Ovis aries: one gene and its partners. The protein of the gene in region 6 interacts with the protein of the main gene of each other region in a pairwise test. Links are inferred from orthologs where the notes say so. Each region holds a gene or a part of one and is shown on either strand. Other genes may lie near its edges. The genes, in order: PSMD4, RANBP1, PTMA, FUS, KNSTRN and NUPR1.

Region 1 (5,783 bases), on a different chromosome or scaffold from region 6:
ATTTATGAAATAACACACACTTGGCACACTGAGTGCAGGAAAGTGCAATCTAAATTATCTGGTTAAATGTTCAACAGCTTTGACAGCCGGACTGAACTGCAAAAATGAGGTTTCATAGATCTGGGGGTCTCACGTATTCTATCCCTATATTTTTCACAATCTGTAAGAATCCAAATAACATGGAATACAAGTGCCAGGTTCCTGGAGACCAAAAGAAGACAGGGAAGTGAGAAAGTTATCTACACCCCAGAAGAGAATGAATTCTTGACGAACTGAGTTCTGTCAAAACACTGAAAGCAAGCAGCATACTGAGAGACAGCTCATCTCTACTGGCAAGCTAAACAGGCTTGGAGGCGATTTTTTCTTTAGTATCCTTCGCCAGGCAATAAACACAAACCAAAAATGATGGAGAGGTAATTAAGAAACTACTGTAAGACAAGTAGAAAGGGTTGCAAGGGTAGCGTTCAGGCAGGTTCAAATCCCTACTCTACTACTTACTAGTTCTATGATCCTAAGGAAGCTACTGAATTTCTCTAATGTCCAGTTACCTCATCTGTAAAATGGGTTTTATTATACCTACCTGGATAGTGCTGGCTATGAGGATTAAACTCATGGAAAGTACTTAGCACAATGCCTAACAGTAAGCATGACACACAGACTAGTTCTTATAGACGAAACTCAATCCATATAAAGGAGGTCAAGGGCGGACTTTACTGACCAAGCTATATGCTTTTTTCCCTGATACACTGTTTCCAACTACTCTCCCAACAGGGAAATAACTGCCTTCCTAGCTTCAAATACAGTGGTGGCTAAATATATGAAACAATGGAAGCTTTGAGGATCATCCAGCTGCAATAGCTACTAAGTACAAAGGCTGTGGGCAAGACCAGCAGATGGATGAAGGCTGGAAGAAAGATGTCAGAGGAAGCCCTGGGAGGTGGGGGGGGGGGGGGGGGGGCAGCTGAGAGGGAGGAAGAACCTGCTGTGCAGAACACGAGAGCGGTCCTCCTGCTGTCACGAGTGTATCAGAACCACTTTGAGGGTGACGGTGCTGGCACTGGTAAAAACACAGATGCTTGCACACCTATGTGTGCACCCCTAAAAAATGCAGTTTGCTTTTCCCAACATTGAACTTTATACAGACAGGATAATACATGCATTTCCTGTGACTACTTTCACTCAACAGTAATTTTTCCCAATAAAATTTTATATCAAAATAAGGGCTGACAAAATTATCCAGCTATTCCATAAAATTTTCATTAAAAAAAAAAAAAAATACAGATGCCTAAGCTTCCCTGGCTGGGAGTCTGAGCCACCAGACCAAGCAGAATCAAATATACACAACTTTCTGAGGGCCAGCAAAGCATGAGCAAAGAAGTGGCTTTCACTGCTCTTCTATGGCTGGGCTGTTACAACAGGGTGCCAGTGCATCACTCTGGACCTAACCTTTCCTCCCATACCCCAAGCCAGATCAGCATTCTTAAATCCCATTTTGTATATAGCTCTGGCTCCACCAGCCTCAGAACGTTTTCAGTAGTCCTCCATTGAAGGGTAAAGGGCAGAATTCAGCCTCCTCAACCCGACATCTGTGCTCTTCTACCTGGCTGCATGCCCCTTTCTCCAAAAAAGGGAACCACCTTCAACCAACAACCTAATAATGAAGCCACACTAGTCCATTTTCTACTCCCTAAACAAGCCTTGAGAATGTACACTTCAGCAGCTTTCCTTATGCCCTTCTCCTTACATGTAATGGCCTCTCCTTAACATTTGTCTAAGTCCCTTCAAGGACCCTCTTAAATTCTTTCCTGAGGACTTCTTAAGCATCATGGCAACTAACAGATGCAGAGTGCTGCAGTTTACAGAGCACCACGACACACACTGCCTACCCTTGCTATGAGAAGAGTAGATGTTACTATTATATTCGCATTTTATAGCTAAAGTGAGAGATTTACTACATTCTCAAGAACATGCGGCTGGAAAGTACCCCAAACACAGGATTTTGGATTCCAAATCCTGTCCTCTTTCTACTCTTAACTTGCTTTCGTCCAGAGGCTGCCATATTTAGCAAATGAAAATACAGGGCTCCCAGAATTCCCTGGTGACACAGTAGTAAAGAGTTCGCCTGCCAATGCAGAGAACATGGGTTCGATCCCTGGTCTGGGAAGATCCCACATGCTACACAGCAGCTAAGCCCAAGTGAGCTGCAACTACTGAGCCTGTGTGCCACAACTACTGAAGCTCCGGCGCCTAGAGCCTGTGTTCCACAGCAACCAGAACCCTGCAAACCCTCACCACAACAAACAGTAGCCCCAGGTCCCAGCAACTATAGAAAGCCCAGGCAAAAGCAGTGAAGACCCGGCACAGCCAAAAACAAATAAAGAACAGAAAATACAGGACTCCCAGTTAAATCTGAATTTCAGACAAACAACAGTAACTTTCTAGTGAAAGTATGTCCCATCCAATATGTGGGACATACACATGGCCATTGTGATATTAAAAATAATTGTTTATCTGAAATTTAAATTTTACTGGGCATCCTATGTGCTATCTGGCAACAGTATCTACCCAGCAAAAAGAAAACCCTTAGGTGTCTGTTCCATGCAACTGGGGATTTGTGTGTGTTTGTGTATTATTCTGTTTTCATTCCAGGCTCACACTTAGAAGAAACTCTTGAAACCTTGCAAAAGTGTGGTCCTCAGTTTTAACAGCTAGCCAAGTCAGACTGATGAGAGCTCACTGGATAAGTGCCGAAGCGTCTTTGAGTCAGATAATCCTGAGTTTAAACCTAGGCTCCACCACTTAACCTGCTGTGTGATTCTGTGTAAGTCATTTAAAACTGCCGAGACGCGGTATCCTCATCTGTAAAAGGGAGGGAGTATTGTGAGGCTTAAGTGAGATGAAGCAAATTAAATGCCTAACATTTAGAAGGTAGCTTAGTAAAGAATCTGCCTGCAGTACAGGAAATCCGCATTCGTTCCCAGGGTCGGGAAGATCCTCTGGAGAAGGAAATGGCAAACCACTCCAGGATTCTTGCCTGGAAAATCCCAGGGACAGAGGAGCCCAGCGGGCTACAGTCCATGGAATCGCCAAGAGTCCGACACGACTTAACGACTAAGCCACAAACACTTAAAAAGTACTCTTGTAGTGCCTTTGACGGTAACACCAGGAAAAGCAAAGGAGTTAGCGACAAGTGAGTGGGGCAAGGAAGGGAGCTGAAACTCTCTTCCTAACACCCATCATTGTGAAAAGGAGAGGAAGGCAGAAGACTAGCACGGTGAGTCCGAGAAGCAGGACTCTAGCTAAAGACAGATGTAGGCTGGTCTAGAGAAGACGACGCTGTAATGGAGAAAAATAGCAGGACCGGTCAATGACTGTCCGCGGACTGAGGGTTAAGGGGGGTACCTCGGGCCCGTCCGTCGGGAACTACCTCTGGGGCCCCGGGATGACTCAGGGAGTCGCTGGAGCTCCTTTCCTCCCGGCCCAAGGCCTCATCTCTTCCACCAGGCCCCCTCGCCCACCCCAGGACCGCCTGGCCTCCGAGCTACAGGCGCCCCCGACCCAGTCCCGCTGCCCAAGGGGGCCCGAGGTGGCTCCTCACCAAACCATAGTGCTTTCCAACACCATCGTGCCTCCTTCCTCCCTCCCCGACCGGTTCTCCTAGACCACTAAACAACAGCTCCTCCAATTGGCCCGGCGCGCATCACCAATCACTGACCTCGGTTGGGCCAGCTGGTTCCGCCTTCATCCCCGTGTTGCTTTCTGGGAGTTGTAGGCGCCGCCAGAAAGAAAAAAAAAAGTGGGAGCTGTTTGGGGCGGAGGGAGGGGCCAAGTAACACAAAAAAGAGGGCCACACCTCCACCTGCCCTGCCATTCAGGTTTTCTGGTGGCGTTCCTTGCAGAGAAGAGCTAAGAAAAAACGTGAAGGAACTTCTGAAAGTGCTGAAGCTATGTCTATTCCAGCATCATCGTTTTTAAAAACTGGTGGGATGACTACTGACTACTGACTTTCCAGCTCCCCCGGTTCCCCATGGCACTTTGTTCATCAAACTACTAAGCACTTATACCTCTGAACTGCATTTGTTTGTGTATCTGTCTTTCTCATTTCATTAAGGGCAAAAGAAAGTGAAAGTGTTAGTCGCTCAGTCGTGTCCCCCTCTTTGCGACTCCATGGATTGTAGCCCGCCAGGCTTCTCTGTCCGTGGAATTCTCCAGGCAAGAATTCTGGAGTGGGTGGCAATTTCCTTCTGCAGGGGATCTTCCCCAATCCAGGGATCGGACCGATCTCCTGCACTGCAGGCAGGTTCTTCACCGTCTGAGCCATCAGGGAAGTCCCCATTAAGGGCAAGAGAAGTGTCAATCTCTGCTATCCCTAAGTCCACTACAAAGCCTGACATATGGTAGGAAGGCAGAAAAAAGTTTGATGAATCAATAATTTTAACTAATCTCCCAAAGAATGGGAGACAACCTAGTCAATCACTTTCGCTTTTTAATCAAATCACATTTTAGTGACTTCCCTGGCAGTCTAGTGGCTAAGACTGTGCTCCTAGTGCAGGGGGCCCCAGGTTCAATCCCTGGTCAGGGAAATAGATCCTACATGCCACAACTAAGACCCAGTGCAGCATCCCTCAAAAGAAGAATTACATTTTAAAATGTCTTAGGGATTTCTCTAGTGGTACAGTGATTAAGACTCTGCACTTTCAGTGGAGGGGCTGTGGGCTCATACCCTGGTGGGGTAACTAAGATCCCACATCTGTCATGGTATGGCCAAAAAATAAAAATAAAATTATTTTAATTAAAAATGCCTTGGCTGGAAATTCCCTGACAGTTCAATGGTTAGGACTCTGCACTTCCACTGCAGAGAGCACCAGTTTGTTCCTTGGTCAGGGAACTAAGATCCTGCATGCCTTGGCCTGGCTATAAATAAATAAATGCCTTGGCTTACTTACACATACACTCCAAAGAAAAACTGGAAATTCCAGGTGTCTATTTTGGAGGAAGTGGGGGAAGGAGCAGAGGACCCAGACATGACTACAGAGATGGTAGATGGAGATGCCAAGTGTGTTGGGCTCCAAAATCACTGCAGATGGTGACTGCAGCCATGAAATTAAAAGATGCTTACTCCTTGGAAGAAAAGTTATGACCAACCTAGATAGTATATTCAAAAGCAGAGACATTACTTTGCCGACTAAGGTCCATCTAGTCAAGGCTATGGTTTTTCCAGTGGTCATGTATGGATGTGAGAGTTGGACTGTGAAGAAGGCTGAGTGCCGAAGAATTGATGCTTTTGAACTGTGGTGTTGGAGAAGACTCTTGAGAGTCTCTTGGACTGCAAGGAGATCCAACCAGTCCATTCTGAAGGAGATCAACCCTGGGATTTCTTTAGAAGGAATGATGCTAAAGCTGAAGCTCCAATACTTTGGCCACCTCATGCGCAGAGTTGACTCATTGGAAAAGACTCTAATGCTGGGAGGGATTGGGGGCAGGAGGAGAAGGAGACGACAGAGGATGAGATGGCTGGATGGCATCACGGACTCGATGGACGTGAGTCTGAGTGAACTCCGGGAGTTGGTGATGGACAGGGAGCCCTGGCGTGCTGCGATTCATGGGGTCGCAAAGAGTCGGACACGACTGAGCGACTGAACTGAACTGAACTGAAGTGTGTTGTAGACATTACATAGATATTGATAAAATTTTAATGGATATGTTCAAAAGTTATTGATGACCATTAAAGGTATAGGAGTAAAATCTTTGTATTTCTAAGGAAAAAAAAATCTGTTACTATA
Region 2 (4,053 bases), on a different chromosome or scaffold from region 6:
AACACCTCTGAGCTCCTGCAGGGCAGGGCCAGGCCCCTCCCGCCCCTGGACATGTCCAAGGGTGGCGGATTGTGACAGGGCAGGGTGCCTTGGTGGTTTATCCCCTGCCCACTTCACAGCCCCTGAGCTGGACGAGAGGGAAGCAGCCGGCAGGGTAAGGAGGGCGGGGCGCTGGCCCTATCCTGTCCCAGGCTGCAGGCCTCTCGGGAGTGGGGTGCCCTGCCCCTGCCAGGACAGGCTGCCTGGGCAGGCTCACCCCCTGCAGGAAACCCCACCTCCGGACCCCGCGGCTGCCACTTAAGGTGGAGCTGACTACAGTGAGGTCGGGCCAGCCCGGGGCCCCTGCTCTGAAGCCAAGACCTTCAGCCCCTCCCCAGGTGGGAAACTCCCCAGAGAGCGGGGCTGGACCCCGGCAGGAATCCATGGGGGTTGTCTGCTGCTCTGTGGCCAGAACCCTGTGCAGCCGTGTGCCTGAGCCCCTCAGGCTGGGAGACCCCGCCTGGCCCCAGGGCCCCAGGCAGCTGACAGACAGAAGAGATTGTGTGGGTGTCCTCCTACCACCCCTGGCCACAGCCTCTGCCTGGCGGGGAGCAGCCCCCAGGCCACAGGCAGGCAGGAAGCGGACACCTCCTGGCTCTACCCAGCTGCCTCTGCCTCCGGTGGCCCGAGGTCCTGCGGACACACTGCGGTCCTAGCCCTGCCCCTCAGGGTGTCTGGGTCTGTAGAGGGTGGGTGCAGGGCGTGGGCAGAGGGTCCCAGGGAGCTGTGGCCCAGGGGTCACCTCCCAAGGGCAGCAGGGAGCAGGCCTGACCTACAGACCAGGGGCCGACATGGACGCAGCAGCCACTTCCCTTCCCCACCTCACCCTCTACAGGCCAAGCACAGGCATTCTCTGGCCAGGTCCTGTCGTGTTCCCCAAACCCCCACCCCCACAGGACTCCCTCGGAGGCAGTGGTCTGCAGAAGACACAGGGCCTCACCGGACTCGCCCCCCAAGGACGCCCCCCCTCCACCCAGACAAGAGGGCCCGGAGCCGCGCAGGACAGTCTTCTCTGAGGACGGTCACAGGGCTGCGCCCGGCTCCAGGTGCAACAGGCAGCTCCGCCAGGGCAGAGGGCCACCCAAAGATGCCTGGTCAAAGCCCGGGGGGCACTGAGGACTCCTGGTGGGCGTCCTCACGCCAAGGCCGGGGCAGAGCGAGGGGGCGGCGCACACACGTCCTGCCTCCATGCAGGTTTCAAACGTGTTGTTTATTCGCTATTTTGATGACTATAAATAAGTGTTTCCACTATGGAAAAGAAAGTTAGCACGGTACATTCTCGTGACCAGGGAATGGATTTTCTGAAGTTGTCTTCATGAGGGCAAAAACTTGGAAAAAAAAAAAACAACCTGGATGTTGGAAGTCAGTTCTTTATATAAAGTCCCTTGTAAAAACAAAACAGAATAAAAACAAACCGAAAAGGCGGCGCAGGGCAAAATTAAAAAAGAAACGGGGGAGACAGGGGCAAGCTGCCCGGGGCGCCTCAGCCTCACTGCTCCTCCTCGGCGGGCGCCGGGGCCACGTCCTGGGGCTGCTCGCCCTCCTGCACCGATAGCGCCTCGAGCTTCTCCGCCACCTTCTCGGCGCTGTCATTCTTGCCAGACCCTGGGGGACACGGGGGCGCGGTCAGAGGGAGGCGCAGCAGCCGGCCGTGCCCCAGCATCTCCAGGTGAGCGTGTGCCCGGGACTCCAGCGGCGGCACAAGCACCTCCCCAAGCCCCGGCGGCCCCACCCCCAGAAAGCACCCGTGTACCGGGGTAGCTGTGCTGCCCTTCACAGGGCAGAGGTCACAGCCCCCGCAAGTTCCTGTGGCAGACGGAAAAAGCACCCGCCGGGGGCTGCGGCTGGGTGCAGAGTGAGTCTGCAGAGCACCCCCCCTCCGCCCCGCCCCGCCCCCCGGCACCTTTTTTTTCTTTCTCTTCAATCTCTTTCCGGCACTCTTCAAACTTTGTCTTGAATTTCTGTGCGTCTGCAAAGAGAGAGACGGCGCCCCAAAGAGCCCTGAGCAGCAAGGAGGACGCGGTCCCGGAGGGTCCCACAGACACCCCACTCCCATCTGGGCAGCCCATCCTGCCAGGCACTGCACTGGAGCAGACCCCACAGAGAGAGGCGAGGCCTCCTCGGCACCAGACGGCCAGCGACGGGGTGCTGCTCTTGACAACACCAGCGGAAGGACACCGCGGCCTGGGGGACCGGCGGGGCACAGCCCTGTGAGCGCAGGCCCCCCCGGAGGGCCCCCCGCCCCGCACACACCCGGGCCTGCTTACTCTCGGCATTGAGGAAGCGGATGGCCAGCAGCTCCTGCTTGGGGCACTCATCAGCGAAGTCAGCATGGGTGTTCCAGACCCAGGCACGGTCGCTGCCTGCGTTCGGCTTCAGCTCCATCATCGGCGTGACTGGAGGGAGAAGCCCCATGAGAACCGCACGGCTGCCAGGCCGGCCCCCACCCCAACCCCTAAAGCCCTGACTGGAGCAAAAGCCTGGTTGGGGGTTCGCCAAGCCAGGCCCAGACAAAGGCTTGTGGGTCTGGATCTTACCCAAACCCCTGCAAACTCCCCGTGCCCACTTAAAAGCAGGACTGTCCTGAATCTGGGAAGAAGGCAGCCATTCCCCGACCACGAGGACACCTCAGCAGGGGTCTCCAATGCCACCAGACCCATTCACCACCAGCCGCCCCGGCCCTGGCCCTGTCCGAGCAGACCCAGGGCAGATGTGGGCCGCAGCTGGGCAGGCCCAGCCTTCCTGAACAGGGTGCCCACCACGTGGCGGAGTCCATACCTGGCCACACATCAGGACCCAGCCCACAGCAGGCAGGGCTGTAGCCAAGACGCATAAGCCACAAGTGGGGTGAAGGAGACCCACCACTCTCGGCCTCACACTGCCCAAGCACATCCCAGGGAAAGAGGCCACTGGAAGTGGACACCGAAGGCCCGTGACCAGCTTGTACGTCACGGAGATCAAGCCGCACCCAGGAATCTGCATGGCCACCCATCCCTCCGGCCACGCAGGGACTCAAGGAGGCCAGCTTCCCAAGAAACGAGTGCCCCACGGCCACACTCGTCCCACGTGCCTGACAGAAATCTCCCAGGACCAGTCCCAGGAACACATCACACTCAGCACCGAGACTACTCATCCCAGCCCAGAACCCCGCTGAGCCCACGTGCCTCCTGGGCACTCAAGGCCCCTCTCTTGCCACCACCCACCCACCTGCACACCAGGCCGGAAACCCGGTGACCAGCCAGGCTCTGAGAGAAGCAAGGTCAGGGAAAACCTCTGGGAAACACCTCAAACGGGGCTGGAGAACAAGGACCAGGCCAGAAGCGACAGGGTGGGCTGAGCGGGGCGTGGTGGGAGGACCTCGGAGCGTGGGCACAGGAGCTGGCCCAAGAGAGTCGATGGGACCGTGGTACCGGGAGGCCGGTCCCTGCCCGCCCAGCCACAGCACCCTCCCGGGCCCTCTGGTTCTTGCGGGTCACCTGTGCGCCCCCTCGCCCCGCCCACTGCAGTGATTGGTGCAGAACTTGCGGGTCCCCGCCCCTCGCCCCCGCCTACTGTAGTGGTTGGCGCAGATCTTGAGGGTCTTGTCCCTGCGCATGAGCAGGCGAATGGTCCCCTTCTCCTTGTGCTTCAGCAGCTTGACGTCCCCCGTGCCCCTCTCCTTCCACTCCGGAAGGTCGTTCTCTGAAGCAAACCGGAACAGCTTGGCCCGCCTGCGAGGAAAGCCGTGGGGAAAGGCGTTAGGCAGGCGTAGGAGGGACGAGGCCGGGTCTACACCCGAGGCCTCGCCAGACATCCCTGCCTTTTACTCCAGAACTGCAGGTCAGGACATCACCAGAAAAGCGAGGAGGCCCAACAAACCCCAAGTCTTACAGGAAAGCCTGACGTTTCAGAGGGCGCACTGCACTGCCGGCCAAGGCGGCCGTCACAGTGCGGGGGCTCCCTGGCGCCACGGATGCGGGCAAGGGACGAGGAGCCTTTCCTCCGCTGGGAAGACAGGCTGCAGGCCTCCCCTCG
Region 3 (4,098 bases), on a different chromosome or scaffold from region 6:
ACGAGGCTCAGCCGTGGACAGGCCACACCACACACACGAGGCTCCTCTGTGGATCCCCCACACAACACACGAGGCTCAGCTGTGGACCCCTCACACCACACACGAGGCTCCTCTGTGGACCCTCACACCACACACACGAGGCTCCTCTGTGGACCCCTCACACCACACACGAGGCTCCGCTGTGGACCCCACCACACCACACACACGAGGCTCCTCTGTGGACCCTCACACCACACATATGAAGCTCATCTGTAGACCCCAGAAGGTTCTTAGAGAGCTCCTCACCAGTCTGAAAATTCCAAGCAGCTCACATATCACCCCTTACTGTGCTGAAGGGGCAGGGTGTCTCTCCCCCAACCGAGGTATTTGTTTCTTCTGGAGATCGGAGTTGTGAATAAGTGCAAGGTTGGTAAGGAATCTGCCTGCAATGCAGGAGACCCAAGTTCAGTCCCTGGGTCCAGAAGGTCCCCTAGACAAGAAAATGGCAACCTACTCCAGTATTCTTACCTGGGAAATTCCATGGACAGAGTAGCCTCGCAGGCTACAATCTACAGGGTCCCAGTGGTTAGACTTAGCTCTTAGTGACTAAACCTAGGCTGCATTAGTATCCTGGAATGTCTGTCCTAAGGGACCAGAAGGTGCCACGTGTCACCACCAGGGGGAGCCACTCAGTGGCCAGGATAATCCAGTGAGGCCTTTGAGGTGAAGGGCACAGCTAGCAGCTGTCCCACAGGGAGGTGGCATCTCTGGGATCTTTGGCCCTGAGTTTTCACTTGGGCCTGGACAACCCCCTACCCCACCTCCTGGATCCAGAGGGCAGCCCCGCATGTAGCTTGTTCCCCCAGCCTATAGAGGTGTCGGCAGATTTCTAATGAAACTGGGTTAAACAATTTCAGTGTAGATGCTCTCACTACAATCCTAGGAAGGGATGAAGCTGGTAAGTGGCTCCCCCTTCAGCCCATAGCTCTATAGTGCTCCATCATGTCCCCATTAGCCAGTTGCAGCTCAGTACTTGACTACAGGATGGCCACCCACCAGACCCTGGTGCCAAGGGGCACACCTCTCCCAACTGAGGTCTCCAACCCACTGTCCCCAGGAAGGACAGCAGGTTCAAGATCCTCCCCTCTTCTTGCCCCTGCCCCTCTGGAGAAAGCCTAAAGAAACCAATACAGAAAAACCAGGCCTGAGACAGCTTTGTTAGAACAACTCAGCAAAATAAAATTCCGGTTTATTGTTGGACAACATTGTTTCACACATACATCAAACAGGCCAAAAAAATAAACAGCAACTTCATAGACAAAAAAAGGAAAAAAAAGAAACCTTTTATCTTTGGCCTTTTTAACCATCTCATACAAACCAACTACTTATAGTACAGCTAAGTACATACACAAAAAAAGTTACTGGAATGCTCGGAATAAGATTGTTTTTTTTTGTTGTTGTTTTTGCTTTTTTTACAAGGTTTTTTTTCTCCTTTGAGATTATAATGAACATGGTCACACCACAAGTAAAGTCAGAGTAGGACAGAGAACGCTCCGAAGGCTGGTTTGGTCATCCGAGATCATTAAAAATGGCTGACCCCTAACAATATGTACAAAAATATAAAATGTAAATAAAAAATACAAACAAATTTTCCTTTTTAAAGTACTTTAAGAAAAAAAGCAGGGCCTTGGAAGTTTTGGTTCTTTCTTTTTCCTCCCCTGTTGCAAATTCACGTTGTGGTTTTGGTTGGGTGGTGGAGAGCGCTGTCGTCTGTGGGTGGCGCTGCCCGCCAGGGGCGGGCGGGCGGGACTCTCTACTCGAAGGTGACCACGTTTAGATTCTGAGACGGGAAGTGGAGGGTGAATAGGTCACGGCGGCCTTTTTTTTTTTTTTTTTAAGTTTAACTTTTCCTTTTTTGCTGTCTAGTCATCCTCATCAGTCTTCTGCTTCTTGGTATCCACATCGTCATCCTGGGAAGGGAAGGATTGTCAAGGTCTCTTCCAATCCCCTGGGCCCACCCACCCACTGGCTGAGCTCCTAAGGGCCAAACTAAAACCAGGCATGCGCGGTCCCATAGGCCCCTGTTCCCACTCCAGCTCAAGAGGAGAAGGACCACACCCCGCACCTTATGACCACTTTTAAGCCCCATCAAGCCCTCCAGTGTTAGTGTCTCAGATCCCAGCCCTCTGGCCCAACTCAAGCCAGACCAGACCCACCTCGTCATCTTCAGCTGCCCGTTTGCCCGTAGCTGCCTCAGCCTCCTCATCTTCATCTCCGTCCTCTTCCTCACCTGGTGAGAACAAAGCCCAAGTAAACCACTCTGCCTTCCTCAACTAACCGGGCACAGTGGGTCCTGGGACTCTCCCACTCAGTGGCAGGCAGCAACAGGTAGGGTGGGGGGGTGGACACGATGACAGGAAAACTGCAGCTCCTTGGGCAATCTCCAGCAACAGAGTAACCAGGGTTGAGTGCCGCTGAGCCATCTCTGCTGCCTGACAAGCTGGGCAGTCACTGCACCCACACTGCCCATCACGGGCAGCTTATCATCAGAGGTAAGACCCAAGCGAAACCAGAGAAGCCCCACCAACCAACTGATCAGGGCATGGAGGGCACTCTCCAGTGGGCGTTGAGTGTGGTGCTAGGGGCACAGCCCCACAGTCACTAGCCTAAAGTGAGAAAGATGCTGGCTTTGTGGCTATAAGCCCAGTTGGAGGTGGTGCCTTGGACCTGCCACCCCCCAGGAAGACCCCAGTCCCTCCCCATCTGCTAGGAAGACCAGAAGGTACTAGAGGAACAAAGCTACTCACCATCACCTTCCTCCTCCTCCTCCTCTTCCTCCCCACCTTCCTCCTCTTCTTCGTCTACCTCGTTGTCAGCCTCCTGCTCCCCATTTTCCTCATTCTCCTCGACAGAAAGCAGAGCAGCTTGTTGATGAGGACAGAACATCACTCTGCCCCCAACATCACTTCTTCCAGACCCTACCCTGGGCTTCTACAGAACAGACCCCCGGAGAGATGCCCCCTGAAGTTCCAGCCAGAGATCCCAATACAGAACTGGCTAAGGCCTCAGCCCCCCGCCCGACCCTTGATTAAGCCCAAAGTCTTAAGTAAGAACTCCAGGCCAGGAGCTGCCGGGAGTGGGGGGGTGGGTCATGACCACAACAGACACTCACAGCATTCCCATTGGCAGGTGCCTCTCTCCCATTCTCCGCCTCCTCCACAACTTCCTTCTTCTCCTTTAAGTCCTTCAAAAAGGAAAAGGGAACCAGTAAGTCTTCTGAGTAGCCTAGGGCTGGCAAAGGGGCCCGAACCTACAGGTAGGAGGGATTCAGTGACAATCCTGATGTCCCAAGTAACAAGCTCGAAGTTGCAGGTGGGAGAGAGCAAAGAATACTGAGTGTCTGTGGCCGGGATCTCATCCTACTTCTCTACTCTTAAAAACACACACATTTTTAAAAACGGATCCAGGACAGCGGTTCCCACCGCACCTTTACTCATGCTTCTTAGGAAACAAGCCATGTGGCACCACAGACCGAAACCTGTCTGGCCGGGCAGACGAGCCCGGGAACACTTCACTCACACTCTCTCATCACAGAGTTGTTTCCAACTAGAGAGCTCCGCCTCTCACAAATCCTTCTTGGAAGACAGCAGGTATGTGCCATAAATAAATAAGGCAATGGGGGAGGGCCCTGACACTGCGGGAGGATTCCCGTGGGTGGACTAGCCTGGGAAGGGAATGGGAGGGAACTGGCAAAACTGGGGAAGCCGCTTCTCCAGCCAGAGGCCCCGCAGCCGAGCTTGAGCTCGGAGCCCACGATCTGGCAAGCGCAGGGCTTTCTTTGAAGGCACCAGAATCCCACCGATCCCTCCGTAAGCCACAGCCATCCCAGGAGGAGGCAGACCACAGCCCTGGACTTGGGCACCGGCTCAGGCGACTCACTCCTGGGCCCGAGTGAGGCCTTGCTGCACTCAGGCGCGCAGTCCCTGAAATTTGGCAGTTGGGAGCGCCAAAATGTCCCTCCGTGGCTCTCTCGCCCGTCCGAGGGCCAGCTCGGTGTCCGTCAGGCCGCGCCTCCCACGAGCCCCAAGGGGCAGCGCCGCCGCGGGCACCCCGCTGCCC
Region 4 (5,011 bases), about 1.2 Mb from region 6:
GAAGTAATCAGCTACAGACTCAATTGTAACATTCTCGCCCAGCCCTTGCACGAAGATGGTGTTGTTGTCTGAATTATCCTGTTCTGCTTGCCCAACACAGCAGGAAACATGGAGACAGAAAACAACCAGAGATAAAATAAGTCAGTGACACTTAGTAACCTGAACTTTGATACTTGATAGTTAGCTTTCCAAGAAAGAAAATTTCTAAACCAATTAATATAAAGCACTGGTGCTGTAGGTCCGACAAATCTCCAACTCTACTTCATTATGAGTGCCTGTATGCTAGCCGCTTCACCAATTAAAATTTAGGTTTACAACTACCCCTTAAAATATGTTGAAATTCGTAAAAGAATCCAGGGCTCAGGATTTAACTGCCCAAGACCACACCAGTGTTTGTCAACTTTCAGTTGAAGACCCCCAAAGAAACTAATTTTACACTAAAACGCAGCATTCCCACCAGGGAAGCCCTATACAAACATCATCAAAACAACACATACACTAAGTGCGTCCCTGTGTCTTTCTTGTTAAATACACTATTCAACACAGCTACTCCTAACTAAACGCTCTTCCCCGCTCTTCTCTAGCCCCGCTCTTCTTCAGATTCCCTTAAGTTTGAACAACATCCAAGGAAAGTCCTGCTACCACTTTTGCCTTTCTTTCCTGCCACCTGCGGACTTACCAGAGTCATGACGTGATCCTTGGTCCCGAGGGCCTTAAATGACATAGAAGAAAAAACAAAAACAAAAAAACAAAAAAACAAGGAAAGAGGAGCCGTTAGTTAAGAGGCTGAGAAAGACAAGCAAAATAATTAACACCAAATCCAAACTTTTGCAAAATATCAGGTAAGTGCTCACAGCCAGCCTCACTCCAAACCCTGTTCTGGGTCGCCTGCCCAGAGAAAACCCTAGGCAGGTCTGGGAAAGACACAGGCCCCTTTTCTTAAGGTCTGCATGTAACTTGAGTCCCCACAGGGACAACTCCACACTTCAGAAAATGCTGCCTCCCCCAGCTCAGGCTGGGAAATGTCCTCAGCACAGACTGGGAGGGCCAGGAGGGAGACCCATTGAAGTTAACAAACCAACTCATAGCTTGGCCCTCTTCTCTCGCCCCAGAGAGAAATGGGCTCACCACCAGCAATGTGATATGCATTCATACAGTTTCTCCAAACTTTAGCACCAAAGACACTTATCCCTTGTAGAACAATTTTTAATGTCATCTTTCGAAACCAGTCTTAAAACCATGTTGTTTCCCCAAAAACCACATGAAAATAAAAACCATACAAAATAGCTATTGTATGTTTTAAGCATGTCCCAGGGAACAGACCAGAAATCTTATTTCCATAATGCAGCCTCTATTTTTTTTTTTCCAGAGACCATCTTCGCCCAAAGTTTATCTGAATTCACCATATATAAATGTTGTACCCACACTCAATGACACACCTAAATCATGAACCCAAGCCTTTGGCTTTACATGTTGAGACAAATCAAGAAACCCTTTGTTAGTTAACCAGACCAGAAAAGTTCCAGCTTACTGGGAGACTTCTCCAATTTGCCATTTTTCCATGAATTCAGTTTGTGCTGTTATTAAGACCTGATTATTTCCCATGAGCCACACATGCTCCCAACCTTTCTTGGAAGCAGTTCACACCTTCCTGCCCAGAGCTAGTTGCTATTTAGCCCATCTGAGTTGAGTTTAAATACGTGTATGTAGGATTGCATTGACACCATTCAGTATTTAATACATAAATATATACCAACGTCACCATCCTCAGGGCAGGGCAATACTTCATCCCTCGTCCAGAATTAAAATGTTTGGAGGTTGTCACACACACACACACACACACACACACACAAGCCTCGGACACACTGATCAAAGGATCGATCCTAAAGCCAAGTTGGCACCACATGCTCCAGCACACTCTCCAGTTTCTCGCAACGGTGGTCACTAACTGCCGGGTGTGGCGACACTCGTCAAGAGGCCTCCTAAACACCGCTTATTAACCTGGGTCAAACCAATTTGGTACCAGACGACTGCTGAGTCTTACTCCCTGCCTGCCTCCAGGTTAGCACACATCTGGCAGCAGGTGGCATTCCACCCCACCCCTTTCTGGAGGTGGATATGGACACTCCAAAACTTTTGACACTTAAAACACGCTAAGACAACTGCAAATGAACAATCAGACAAAGCATTGCTGGGAGTTGGGAATTTTGGAAACTCTGTTCACTTACCACCAAATTTATTGAAGCCACCACGGTCACTTCCGCTGGAGAAGACAAGTTAGAAGAAAGGACATGAAGCTTCCAACGGCTACAAAAGGGCGGTTTTTGGTTTTGTTCAACATTCCCCAAACATAGGTAGGTGTTTTGGGAAAATGATAATGCAAGTGGCTACTAAAATACATTCCCCTTCCTGACCAACCCTTGTCTGACCTGTGAGCATGTCACACACACGTGTGCAATTTCTCAGACACAATTGTTAAGGATTTTGCTTAAAAGGTTATATATCTATTTCCTCTAGGAAAAAAAAAAAAATGACCCATTTTCCTTGGCCGTTCTTCCGACGTAGCAGATGTTTTTCCTCTTGTCGCAAGCAGTTGCCAACCCAGTAGTTGGTTTAAAAAACCCTACCCCCAGTTTACCCAGAAGACACTTCACACCAGGCTGGGGTAGCCCTGAACACATTTTTGTGATTTTTTTTTTTTTTTTGCTTTGAAAGCAGCAAGCAGACCCAACCCCTTTCCATAAAAAGTCAAAACCAAAGGCAATTTCCCCTTAAAGCGAGACAAAACTTAGCTAAGCCCTTCCCTAACTACTGAGCTGGTTTTGATCTCTCCCCACCCCCGGGGTCACCCCTTCTACACTGCGAGAAGAGCGGAGTATTTTGCAATGTCACCTTTCATACCTGTGGCACATAAAATGCAGAGCAAGTTAACAGTCACATAACAGTTGCTTTTCTTTTTTTAAAGTTTTGCATTATAAACACACGCACACAAGAGTTTTCCTTATTTCTGTAAGGTTTATGGCACTGCCCCCACCCCCCCTCTGAATACTTACCATACACAAACTCTTTTTTAAAAACTTACTTTTTCCCCAAAAGGAGTAACACACTGACATTCCTCCCCTTCTCAAGAGAGACAGAGAAGGGTGCCTCCAATCGTTATTTACCAACAGACTTGACAAATGTTCTAACATCAAATCTAAGGTTTTACTTCAGCTTCAGCAGGAAGGGGAGGAAAGACGGTCCAGCTGGACAAGTAACCGGAGGAAGGGGGACAGTGGAGCAAGTGGGTGGGAGACCACTGTCGAGTGTACTGTACTTTGTCCAAAAGGTCTGCACACTTCAGAGAGCCCCATGAACCAAGTCACACACAAAATCATTACAGTCCGTCAGATTAGTACAAGTCAAGTTCGTGGATTCAAGTGACTAGAGAATACAGGAAGAGAAAGTAGCCAATTCCTGGAAGCTCAAGTCAGGTTAACCATTGACAGCTCCTTTAGCGGACACATGGGAATACAAGTAACAAGTTTCCCTGTCACCAGGAGTGGGATCATCGGTTTCCCTTGCAGAGAAAGAAGCCTTTACTTCCATGTTTCTTGCCTAGGATATCAATGACTCCAATCCACATACACCCCTACATTTCTTTTTCTTTAGAGATGAAAGTTGTCAGTACTCAAATCTCTGTACAGAAGTGTGGGTAGAAGTTCAGGCTCCCAAGTTCTCACAAAAATAAAACGGGGATGGATGTACGAAAAAGAAACAGTCAAGACCCCAACTCAAAGCCCTTACAAATTCCCAGATCAGACTAACCATGCACTACAGGACTAGGCGTCAAGGGAGACTCATGCAACCCTCCTCCCGTCCCACTGATGGTACTCCCTGGCTCACAAGACACCTACCCCATGCCGCCTCTGCCTCCACGGCCACCTCCACGACCTCTGGGTTCATAGCCACCACTGCTGCGGTTGTAACCACCGCCACCGCCCCGGCCACGGCCCCCACGGTCCTGCTGGCCTCCCCCGTAGCCACCACTCTGGTCCTGGTTGCCATAACCACCGCCGCCGCCGCCACCACCACTCATGGAGGGCTGATCTTGGCCATAGCTACCTGTCAGGAAAGAACAGCTTGCCTTTAAAAAGGACAAAACAGACTGGGGGGTGGCATGAAACAGTTCAAGAGTGCCAGGGAATAAACTTCAATAGAAATGCAGATAAAGCTGGGGTTTTTAAGAACCCTTTCAGGGTAACGGCCTAGAATACAATTTCTTGCGAAAAGCAGGGATGAGACAGAGCAGAAGGAAACCTCTCACCTCCGCCACCCCCTCCGCCGCCGCCACCACCACTGCTGTACTGGTTCTGCTGCCCGTAGCCCTGAGGCGGGTTATAGCTCTGCTGCTGCCCATAGCCTTGCTGCTGCCCACCATAGCCAGACTGCTGGCCATAGCCTCCACTCTGGGGCTGCCCATAGCCGCTGCTTTGAGAACTGCTACCGTAACTAGGGGAAGAGAAAAAGACAAGAGTCACAACGCCAGTGTGTCCAGGACTTCACTTCTGGTACATCCCATTCTCTGCCCCAACAGAGACCACCTCTCCTCCATTACCCCTGATAATTACTCCCACTGCTGAACCCCTAATCTTTTCAGTCCTCTCCACACCCACTCCTTACCTTCCTGAGGTGCTGCTAGGAGCTGGCTGCTGGCCATAGCCAGGGTACGAAGACTGTTGCCCGTAAGACGACTGAGAACTCTGGCTACTGCCATAGCCACCAGTTGAGCCATATCCCTGGGGAGCTGACTGCGTGCCGTAGCCTGCTACAAGGAAAGGAAAAGGGAAGTCACAGAAGCTATGAGGAAAGAGAACAGGCAGGGAATGCACTGAGAACAGCCCTGTATACCACTTAGTGCTTCCTGTACTTGGTAAGTCAACTTCTTAGAAAATGCTTGGCAATCTTGCAACTCATAGCTAAAGAGATTACCTTTTCTACCTGAAAGCTGTGTTTCAACTTCTACTCAAGT
Region 5 (5,580 bases), on a different chromosome or scaffold from region 6:
ATAGAAACCAAAATTCTTTAAATGTGACAGTGCAGTGTTTGAGGGTGGCCAGAAGTTTGACGATATAGCAAACCGAATGGCCAGAGGGTGGAGATTCATATAAGCAAAGATCACAAGAGGCAGTGTGGCTGCCAGCAAGGCAAAACACAGCTGAACCCTGCCTCATACAGCAATTCAATGGAACTATCTCATTCTGCTCTTAAGCACTTTGCCTGCTCCCCTAAGCTACATGCAAGCTGTTTCAAGCTTCAGCTGTTGCTTAGTTGTTTTGACCAGACTGGCTCACTAACTAGTTCTCTAAGACAGTGGTCCCCAAACTTTTTGGCACCAGGGACCAGTTTCCTGGAAGACAATTTTTCCTCAGACCAGGGGTGGGGTGGGGATGGTTTCAGAATGCTTCAAGTACATTAATTACATTTATCATGCACTCTATTTCTATGATTATTACATCAGCTCCACCTCAGATCATCAGGCATTAGATTCCGGAGGCTGGGGCCTCCTGCTTTGCAGATGTCTTTGTACCTCAGCATCTAGGAGAGTATCTGGCATATTAGCAAAAATTCAAAACCTGCTTACTGCCTAAACGGAACATGTCAGTTTCAAAGACCATCTCTAAAGTAGCTTCTTTCGTCGTCTTCCCTCTTCCATGCTGGCCTTTACCATCATCCATTTTTGTTTATCCATCTTTAAGTTTAGAGTTTCATATTCGGTTCCTTATTTGGCATTCTGTTCTGATCCTGGTAGGCTGTTGCCAGATAACCACAGAAATGGCCCTGACATGACACTCTTCTTCCCTAGAAGAGAGCATCTGCCCCCTAGCCCTTATGCCGCCCTCCGCCACACACCTCTTTCTACCACTTCCATTTCATAGCAAATCCAAGTAACTTGTTCTGGAGTTAAGTACTCACCCTACCCCATCTAATACATGCAAAGGATTCTTCTACTTTATACCAACTTTCATTTTGTTCATTGTAAAATGGCCCCTTTAAAAACCTGGGCCCATACTCTGGTTTCTGAGATTTTATATGCCCCGAGGCAACTAGCCTATGTGCCACAATCACTGAGCCCACCTAGAGCCTGTGCTCCGCAACAGGAAGAGCCACCACAGTAAGAATCTCCTGCTCTCCAAAACTATAGAAAGACTGCGCAACCAAAAATAGTTTTAATAACCTTGACCTATCTTAAGTTGAAGAAATCAATGATTAAATCAAGATGAAGAAATGAGATACAAAGTACTGAATTGCAGGCATTAGGAAACTTTGTGTTTGATAAAGATTTATTTTGATGACTTTAGCTGCACAACAGTTTGGAATAAATATGATTTCTCAGGCTAACAAATTATTTCATTTATAGGTACACTCAGTGGGCACTTACATCCTATTTTCACACAAAGCAAGTATTAAAAGGGTTCTTTCTGAGATCTGTCAGAAAAGGTAACCTTGGGTGAATGAATTTACCTTCTCCTCTCTCAGGTATTAATAAGTCATACATGATAAGAAATATCTCATGCAAAAAGGTATCAACAGCAAACGGATCAAAATTAACACTCTTCATTGACTGGGATTGGTTCCAATAACCCATATTTGTTAGAACCTAAGGATGGTATTGTAGGAAAAATTTAGCAGGGTTTAACAAAGACTATCTTCTTAAAATGAGAGATGCTAAGTAGGGAACTGGATGGCTAGTGCCAAGGATGGAAAGACTAATTTTTCACTGTATATCGTTTCCAAACTTTGGAATTTTTTTTTAAACATGTGTATATGTTATCTGTTAAAAAAACTAAAAACCAACCAACCCTTGCCTAACATCAAAAAACCTGGGAGGCAGCCTAAAAATTTTTAAATATTGGGGTTACATATGATTGTAAAGCTGTGACTGGGAAAGAAGCAAAGAGATGAAAACTTCCAGTTTGGGTGGGGAGATGCCAGTCACTCCCCACTGAACTAAAGATGCCGCTTTCTAAGAGAAAGGCAGTGTACGACTGACTCCAGTTCCTCCATCAACTCCTAAGCCCTGCTGATGACAGGATTGCCATTCGGGTGTCCTGAAGCAATATAAGACAAACATAATCCTGTAAGGCCTTTGGAGAAAAGCCTATTTACTTCATAGGTCAATCCTACTAGCCTCATCAATCAGTTGCATGGAGTCACCTCGGAAAGAATCTTAAATAGCTGCTTCAAAACCTTCCACCGCCACCCAGTTCTCACGTTTGAAACCAATTCCCTGCTATAATCTCTAGATTAGGCAGCTGACAGTTGCAGAATTTAGGAGATAATTTCAACTCCAAGCTGAGTCACACAAAGCAAAATGGCAAAGCAATCAAACATTGCTTTTAATCATGCCTCTTCTCCCAAAGTTCTGGAGCATTAGTTAGGCCTGATCCCTCTCTCTCTCACTTTACTCAACAAATGTTTGCTGAGAATGTACTATATAAAGGACACTGTGCAGTTACAAATGGGAACCAGACACGGTGTGAACCCTAGTGCTTCTCCCTAACTATCCTGCTTTTTAAATGACTCTCTTCTCTCCTCCCTGACAACAAACCCAGTCCCTCAGGACACCCCAAGTCTGGAAATAAAACAGATACGTATAAAAGGGATCCCTAGCTTACTGCAAATAATATTGTAGAATAGTCAGCAACTTGAGTCTAATTGGTGAATGCAGCAGAGTTCGGGTTGAAGAAGCAGGCGGGTGGGGCAAGTCCAAATTTCTACCTTACCGCCCTTCCCCCAACTCCTATTATAAACTAGACAGCCCGGTTCTAGGGAAGTTAGCAAGCTGTCAAAGCCGGTAGAATGCCCTTCCTTGCCGGTGCCACCCACCCCCAACAACAGATTTGACGCCTCCAGACTCCTGGCCCGACCACCCCAGGGCCGGTTCGCAGTGCCAGGGGGTAAGGGCCCCATGGACACCCACCTGCCGGCAGGCCGCTGCTCAGCACACAGGTGGGCTGCAGGGTGTACACTGTCTTAATCACGCTGGTCATCGTAACGAGGCGGCACGGCTGGGGCCTAGAAGTTACAAGGTGAATGGTTACCCAGGGCTGGGCCAAGGAGACCAAGCAGGCGGAGGCCCCAGGAGAGCGCGACTCAGGAGAGCGAAAATCCTCCATTCCCAGCCCATCCCATCGACTTCCCACATCCAGCACAGTTTCCTGCCCCAGGAGAGCCGAACCCAGGTGCCTGCTGCTCCTGCCCACACGCCTCGTCGCTCTGGTTCAAAAGATGCTCCGCAGTAACTGCCGTACCACGGACCGCGTCTGCCGCCAGGGTTTCAAAGGGAAACTTCCGGCGACCGGGCGGAAGGGGGTGTGGGGCGCTCTCTGTAGGAGGCCATGTTGTACGGCAGTCACTGGCGTGGGCGACGCCTTCGGCGGCTGCCATGCTGTACGGAAGATCTGAGTCCATGCCGCAGTTTAGGCTTCCTGGCGCTGGGTATAGGAGTCCCCAGGTCTGGGCGGGGGAAGAGAAGTGATGCACTTTGCAGTCTTTAATGGAGCTATGAGCCACTGGTGTCATATGCCGGCCTTGGGACGGAAACGCAGTCACGTGTAGGGTCCTTGTCACAATCCTTCTCTTTATTTGGTCTGTGATTGTTAGGGATGGTGCATGATGCCAGAAAGCCAGGAGCAGAGAGGGATTGGTAAGAAAAAAAACTACACGGTGGAGAGTGGCAGGTGAGATTTGGAGAGGGCTTGTGAGCTGAAATACCTGAGACACCTATCCTCAGTCCTAACTTTTAAAACACTTATCCAGAATTTAAGCCGAGATTCAAAGCTACTCCTAGCCAACGGGGCAGAATTCTCTAACATTTAGCGCATAATTCATTTAATTCAACAAATATCCATTGAGCACCTGCTTTGTGTCAGACAATGGGCAGGTGGGATGAGGACAACAAATATCAAGACTCACTTGGGCTGTGCCCTCCTGGAGTTTACAACCCAGTGACCAGCAAATAATCATACAAACCAGTCAATTATATCTCAATTAAACTGGAAAAAAAACCAAAATATGTATTTATCAACTATAGTAAAACTATTAGGGGAGAGTACAACATGCTATGAGAGAAAAGCAGGGAAACCTAGTTTAAATTGCAGAGTCAGGGAAGATATCTTAAGTGATGTTTGACTAAAAGGGGGAATAGGAGTTAACCTGATGAGGAATCCATAATCATGAGAATGGGCTTTTCTTCAGTTCAGTTCAGTCACTCATTCATGTCTGACTCTTTGTGACCCCATGGACTGCAGCACACCAGGCCTCCCTGTCCATCACCAACTCCCGGAACTTGCTCAAACTCATGTCCATCAAGTCGGTGATGCCCTCCAACCATCTCATCCTCTGTCGTCCCCTTCTCCTCCGGCCTTCAATATTTCCCAGCATCAGGGTCTTTTCAAATGAGTCAGTTCTTTTGCATCAGGTGGCCAAAGTATTGGACTTTCGGCTTCAACATCAGCCCTTCCAATGAATATTCAGACTGATTTCCTTTAGATTGACTGGTTAGATCTCCTTGCTGTCTAAGGGATTCTCAAGAGTCTTCTCCAACACCATAGTTTGAAAGCATCAATTCTTGGGTGCTCAGTTTTCTTTATAGTCCAACTCTGACATCCATACATGACTACTGGAAAAACCATAGCCTTGGCTAGATGGACCTTTGTTGGCAAAGTAATGTCTCTGCTTTTTAATATGCTGTCTAGGTTGGTCATAGCTTTTCTTCCAAGGAACAAGCATCTTTTAATTTCATGGCTTCAGTCACCATATGCAGTGATTTTGGAGCCCCCCAAAATAAAGTCTGTCACTGTTTCCATTGTTTCCCCATCTATTTGCCATGAAGTGACGGGACTGTCTCAGAAAGCTGAGCGCCGAAGAATTGCGCTTTTGAAATGTGGTGTTGGAGACTCTTGAGAGCCCCTTGGACTGCAAGGAGATCCAATCAGTTCATCCTAAAGGAAATCAGTCCTGAATATTTATTGGAAGGACTGATGCTGAAGCGGAAACTCCAATACTTTGGCCACCTGAGGCGAATAACTGACTCATTTGAAAAGACCCTGATGCTGGGAAATATTGAAGGCCGGAGGAGAAGGGGATGACAGAGGATGAGATGGTTGAATGGCATCACTGACTTGATAGACATGAGTTTCAGTAAACTCTGGGAGTTGGTGATGGACAGGTGTCAGGACCAGCTCAACAACGAACCGACCTGAGGGAGCAGTACCGCAGAAGAATAAGGAAAAATAAGACTCAGAAACAAAGTGGGGATCAGGGGACCCTTACCCTACTGCTCTCCACCCGGGTGCCCTTTCCCAGTAAAATCTCTTGCTTTGTCAGCAGATGTGTCTCCTTGGACAATTCATTTCCGAGTGTTAGACAAGAGCCCAGTTTCGGGCCGTGGAAGGGGTCTGCCTTCCTGCAACAAATGGCAACTCTGGCGGGGACTCTTCTTCACTGAGACTGACATCCTGACCACTCAGGGTATTCAGGGGCCAGCTTGCCTGCCAATGGAGCAGACCCAGCAGCTGCAACTGGGTCCCTTTTGTCCCTGGTCTCCTCCTGACGCGGACAACTGGCCAGAGTGCCCCGACCC
Region 6 (4,556 bases):
AGGAAAGATATCTTTTAATGTCCTTCTCAGGTCAGAGATTCTAGGAGAGTTATTAGGCAACTCAAGGGAGCCTGATGGATAAAGGTTCTTAAAGGTTCAAGCTGGTCTTAATCTGCTGTGCATCTGTTTCTGCTCCAACTGCTGCCTTATTCCTTTGTTCATATTCTTGGGTCCTTGAGAGTAATTGATTCCAAGTTTTGCAACCCAGGGTTTAAATGCAGTGGACAGGAGAAAAGGAAAAAGGCTATGCTCAGGGCCAGACTGAGGGGTTTTCTCCATCCTGTACCCCTTTTTGCTTGCTAGTTCCTTCTAATATTCACTCTCTCCAGCTTCTTCTTCTTCTTTTTTTTAAAAAATATTTATTTATTTGTGTCTTAGTTGCAGCACGTGGGATCTAGTTTCCTGATCAGGGATCGAACCCAAGCTGCCTGCTTTGGCAACGCAGAGTCTTAGCCCCTGGACCACCAGAGAAGTCCCTCTCCTACTTCTTTTAATAATAAAACTCTCCCCCAGTTTGGGCTAGCACGTGGCTAAGTAGTTATGTACTACGTGTCCCAACCTCTCCTGCAGTTGGGTGTAGTGATATGTTTAAATTCTGAGCAGATGCAATGTGTTCTGCTTTTAGGTTATGGCCTTAAAAATATATTATTGCGGCCTCCTTATTATTGGTCCCTTTCCCACTCTATTTACATAAGCTGAATGCAGATGAAATGGCAGGTACTGGAGCAGCTAGGTTGGAGTGCAGAGTGGTAGCCATGTTTGAAAAGTGGCTGAAAAATGAGCCAGAAGTAACTGAAATCCCTGACATGATGGAGTTGCCATTTTAACCCCAGAGTACCAATCCTTGGAACTGCTATGCGATACAGAGAGAACTTTCTATTCTGCTTTGTTTGAGTCTTCATTACAGCAACCTGAGTCTCTTTCTCAATCAACATACCCTACCAGCTCCCAGCATGCCTCTTACTTACTCCACATTTTTTCTGGAAGTCTGGCTCTAAGACTGATAACACTGGATAAGAATTTTCCTGCTCACCTGACTTTCCAGAACACTGTCCTGGCGGCCCCCTTGGCAAAGGGACCTACCTCACACTTGAGGACAATAAGAATCCTTGAATTTGAGCCCTAAGTAACTTGGGGCAAGTCCCTAAATGTTTTAAATCCCACTTTTCGCCATTTTGCAGATGGCAGCAATAAATAACATTCACTTGAAGAGGTGGTTTGATACAAAGACGACATAAACAACAAGTTTGTTGTTCCAAAAATGGAGAGGAGCTGAGGAGGGGGCTTGTTTCATGGGCAGCATCTCAAAGAAACAGAGGAAATTCTCATACACCTCACGAGAAACCACAGAAACAAATGCACCCAAACACATATATACCAAAAGAAAAAAAAAAAAAAGCTCACCTCTACGCCATACAAAATTAGAAACACCCCTCCCAGACACATAGCTCAAAACAAACACTCACCAAAATGCTCTCATTGGTTCACGCCAACGCAGACACTTGCAGGCAAGAAGTGTGCACCCAAAAAGCCACACAAAGAGAGAACAAAAACACACAACGCACAAACAGTCGGCAGCTGCTACACTTTGTTTATTTTTCACCGTCACCCTGGGGAGCTCCGGCTCCTTCTTTCTTTTTGGGGGGAGGTACCTTCTTGACTCTGCCTCTGTCTATGCTCTGCCTCTTGCTCCCCATCTTGTCCTTTCTCTGGGGCCGGGGGTGCTTCCTCCATGGCGCCCCCGGAGTCTCAGTCAGGTGGGGTTAAGTCCTGGGGTTGGGGTGGGGCAAGCAGGCCTGGATCCCGCCCCCAAGGGCTGGTTCCTCCTCGGTCCTATTTCCATTGCTGTGGGGGTCCGTCCTCTGGCCTCATCTGGGGGAAGGAAAGCAGCTGGTGAAAAATCCTGAAGCCTGGGGTTCGAGTTCTGCCTCTCCTGTTCACTTGCTCCATGACTCTAGAGAAAGACCCTACCCTCTCTGGGCCTCAGTTTTCCTGTCTGTAAATCAAATGTTGCTCCACTTGCAAAGGGTCTGTTTCTCCCTTTGCTCTGGTCGCTAGGCAACTCAAACATATGTCTCATTTTATTCTATGTTGGGACAACAATTCTTGGCTCCCTCCTCCCCGCCCAACCTCGCACATTGAGGTCTGTCCCGCCCAGGCTGAGGGACCTGTACAGGTGCTGGGGGCCCCTGACTCCTTACCTCCAGTCCTGTCTCAGGGTCGTGCCCCTCGCTTTTTCCGCTCCGTGTTCTGAAGCTTGGTCACCAGCTTCCTCTCGTGCCCACCAGGGCTGTGGCGGTTGGTGTTGATGGCAGCTTCTCTCTTGCTGCGACCTTTCCGGCCTCCCACTCCTGGGAACCGAGGCGAGAGTCCGTGGTGAGGTGGGCAGAGGTGTGAGGCTCAGGGGGTACGGAGGGCAGGGGTGGAAAGAGCTTGGGTTAAAGTCGGGAGGCCGGGGATCGTCACCGCATAGATTTAGGGCAGTCTTTGTCCCTGCTTCCGCATCTGTGGATTGAGGGACTTTCCCCCTCCCTCGTGATCTCCAAAATTCTAGAAGTATGTGAGGTCCCAAGGCTGAGTAGGACAACACTCACTGGATGAGGGGTTGCGGGGAAGGGGGTGACTCCAGGGGTCAAAGAAACAGGTGGTGAGTGGGCAGGAGCCCAAGGAGGAATCCTAGTTTGGGGAGGTGGGGTTCAGTCCACTTGTGAAGGTGGGCATTGGAAACGGAAGGATCCAGAAGGTGGCGGGGCCAGAACTTACCCGGGTAAGAATGAGCCAGGCTGTAGAGGTCGTACTCGTCTAGGATGACATCTTCATCCTCTGGGCCTGGGGGCTGCCTGGACGGGCTGGCTGCTGTTGGGAAGGTGGCCATAATGTCTCTCTGTCTGTCTCTCCCTCTCCCGTCTTCTAAAGCTTTGTTTGTGTCTGGTTTGCTGACACCTCCCAGTTCACTGGCCTCAACTTATAAAGCCACGTCTCCTCCTCAGCCCACAGCCTGGCTCCGGCCCTTCAGGCCCGGTCTGATGCAATCTGGCCTTTTCCCAGAACCCAGCCCAGTAAGCATCAGTCACGAGAGAGAGAGAGAGCGGGGGGGGGGGGGGGGTTGGGGGGTGGTGGAGAAGAGCTGGTCCCGTGAGTCCCAGCCCCCTTCCTTCGCCTTCTTTCTCACTGGGGCTGGCCCAGCTGGGTAGTTTTCCACGGAGGAGATCCCCGCCCCTCACGGGGGAGGAGGTAAGAGACAGGGTTTGGGCATAAACAGTGCTTGTGGTCAAGGCCCGAAGGGAACTGAGGGCCTCACCTGGCTGATTGCTTCCTTATCCATCTCATGCCCTCTGCCCTCTGCCACATACCCCTCCTGGGCTGGGGGTCATGGCCACACAGCTGAGCCCCACCCCACCCACTTCTGGCTCAGATTCAGGACCCTGGTGGCAGAACATGGAGTGAAGAAGGATCCAGGAGAGGGTACAACCCACCATGTGTTATGTCACTGATCCTCACACTGATCACACCCAACCCTTTTTTTTTTCTTTAAATATAAAAAATATCCTGAAAAAAAAAATATCCTGGAAACCCCCCTTAACATCCTGAACTGGGGGTCCCTAGGTAATCTCCCTCTCCTGAGAGGGAGACTAGCAGAATGGTTAAGCCAATTCTGGAGCCAGATGTCTTGGATTTAAACCCTTGATCCACTACTTCCTGTATGACCCTGGACAAGTCAATTTACCTCGCTGAGCCTCCGTTTTCTCCTCTGTAAACGGAGGGTAATCGTAACTGTATCTACCTCATAGAGCTGGCATTTGTGCCAAGTTGCTTCAGTCGTGTCTGACTCTTTGCAACCCCATGGACTGTAGACCACCAGGCTCCTCTGTCCAGGGGATTCTCCAGTCAAGAGTACTGGAGTGAGTTGCCATGCCCTCCTCCAGGGGATCTTCCCGACCCAGGGATGGAACCCATATCTCCTGCATTGGGAGGTGGGTTCTTTAGGACTAGCACCACCTAGAGTTGGGAAGAAGATCAAATGAGATAATCGATGGCAAAGTACTTGCTACAGTGTAAACTGCATTGCTCTCCTTGAAATGTAAGAGAGACATAAAAGGAAATCAATTTAAAATAAAGTTATACAGGGGGCTTCCCTGGTGGCTCAGTGGTAAAGAGTCCACCTGCCAATGCAGGAGACACAGGTTCCATCCCTGATTCGGGAAGATTCCACATGCCAAGGAGCAGCTAAGCCCGATCGCTGTAACTACTAAGCCTGTGCCCTAGAGCCCGTGTTCTGCAACAAGAGAAGCCACCACCATGAGAAGCCCGGGCACCGCAACTAGAGAGTAGCCTGCACAGCAACAGAGACTCAGCATGGCCAAAAATTAAAAAAAGAACAAAACCTTTATTAAAAAATAAACAAAATAATACATATTTCAAACCATGGATATACTGAGGTAGAGACCATTGTGAAGTAAACAGATGTTTGTGCTAATTTAATATGAATTAAAGGAAGGGGATTGGATAAGAAACAGGGGAAAGTGGAAATTTCCACTCTTGCCTGAAGGGCCTGA

The links.
Region 1: the proteins of NUPR1 (region 6) and PSMD4 interact in a two-hybrid assay, tested with the Homo sapiens proteins (2 studies listed by BioGRID and IntAct). The link is inferred for Ovis aries from reciprocal best matches to the Homo sapiens genes NUPR1 and PSMD4.
Region 2: the proteins of NUPR1 (region 6) and RANBP1 interact in a two-hybrid assay, tested with the Homo sapiens proteins (2 studies listed by BioGRID and IntAct). The link is inferred for Ovis aries from reciprocal best matches to the Homo sapiens genes NUPR1 and RANBP1.
Region 3: the proteins of NUPR1 (region 6) and PTMA interact in binary tests that used the Homo sapiens proteins (3 or more experiments, as listed by UniProt). The link is inferred for Ovis aries from reciprocal best matches to the Homo sapiens genes NUPR1 and PTMA.
Region 4: the proteins of NUPR1 (region 6) and FUS interact in a two-hybrid assay, tested with the Homo sapiens proteins (2 studies listed by BioGRID and IntAct). The link is inferred for Ovis aries from reciprocal best matches to the Homo sapiens genes NUPR1 and FUS.
Region 5: the proteins of NUPR1 (region 6) and KNSTRN interact in a two-hybrid assay, tested with the Homo sapiens proteins (2 studies listed by BioGRID and IntAct). The link is inferred for Ovis aries from reciprocal best matches to the Homo sapiens genes NUPR1 and KNSTRN.

What each region holds. Positions count from the first base shown.
Region 1 is NC_056054.1:101,141,742-101,147,524, reverse strand, and holds the start of PSMD4 (26S proteasome non-ATPase regulatory subunit 4), read right to left. Parts: upstream 3,640-5,783; 5' UTR 3,625-3,639; coding exon 3,599-3,624; intron 1-3,598. UniProt on the Homo sapiens protein: Component of the 26S proteasome, a multiprotein complex involved in the ATP-dependent degradation of ubiquitinated proteins.
Region 2 is NC_056070.1:73,024,620-73,028,672, reverse strand, and holds the end of RANBP1 (ran-specific GTPase-activating protein), read right to left. Parts: intron 3,750-4,053; coding exon 3,592-3,749; intron 2,436-3,591; coding exon 2,307-2,435; intron 2,009-2,306; coding exon 1,943-2,008; intron 1,905-1,942; exon of another isoform or gene 1,783-1,904; intron 1,645-1,782; coding exon 1,529-1,644; 3' UTR 1,231-1,528; downstream 1-1,230. UniProt on the Homo sapiens protein: Plays a role in RAN-dependent nucleocytoplasmic transport. Alleviates the TNPO1-dependent inhibition of RAN GTPase activity and mediates the dissociation of RAN from proteins involved in transport into the nucleus.
Region 3 is NC_056055.1:233,411,286-233,415,383, reverse strand, and holds the end of PTMA (prothymosin alpha), read right to left. Parts: intron 3,224-4,098; coding exon 3,152-3,223; intron 2,884-3,151; coding exon 2,787-2,883; intron 2,270-2,786; coding exon 2,196-2,269; intron 1,950-2,195; coding exon 1,902-1,949; 3' UTR 1,194-1,901; downstream 1-1,193.
Region 4 is NC_056077.1:27,785,301-27,790,311, reverse strand, and holds part of FUS (RNA-binding protein FUS), read right to left. Parts: intron 4,808-5,011; coding exon 4,663-4,807; intron 4,492-4,662; coding exon 4,307-4,491; intron 4,105-4,306; coding exon 3,897-4,104; intron 2,264-3,896; coding exon 2,229-2,263; intron 713-2,228; coding exon 680-712; intron 84-679; coding exon 1-83. UniProt on the Homo sapiens protein: DNA/RNA-binding protein that plays a role in various cellular processes such as transcription regulation, RNA splicing, RNA transport, DNA repair and damage response. Binds to ssRNA containing the consensus sequence 5'-AGGUAA-3'.
Region 5 is NC_056060.1:34,203,956-34,209,535, reverse strand, and holds the start of KNSTRN (small kinetochore-associated protein), read right to left. Parts: upstream 3,409-5,580; 5' UTR 3,408-3,408; coding exon 3,175-3,407; intron 3,012-3,174; coding exon 2,917-3,011; intron 1-2,916. UniProt on the Homo sapiens protein: Essential component of the mitotic spindle required for faithful chromosome segregation and progression into anaphase.
Region 6 is NC_056077.1:26,593,786-26,598,341, forward strand, and holds NUPR1 (nuclear protein 1), read right to left. Parts: upstream 2,942-4,556; 5' UTR 2,876-2,941; coding exon 2,764-2,875; intron 2,352-2,763; coding exon 2,215-2,351; 3' UTR 2,202-2,214; intron 1,873-2,201; 3' UTR 1,575-1,872; downstream 1-1,574. UniProt on the Homo sapiens protein: Transcription regulator that converts stress signals into a program of gene expression that empowers cells with resistance to the stress induced by a change in their microenvironment.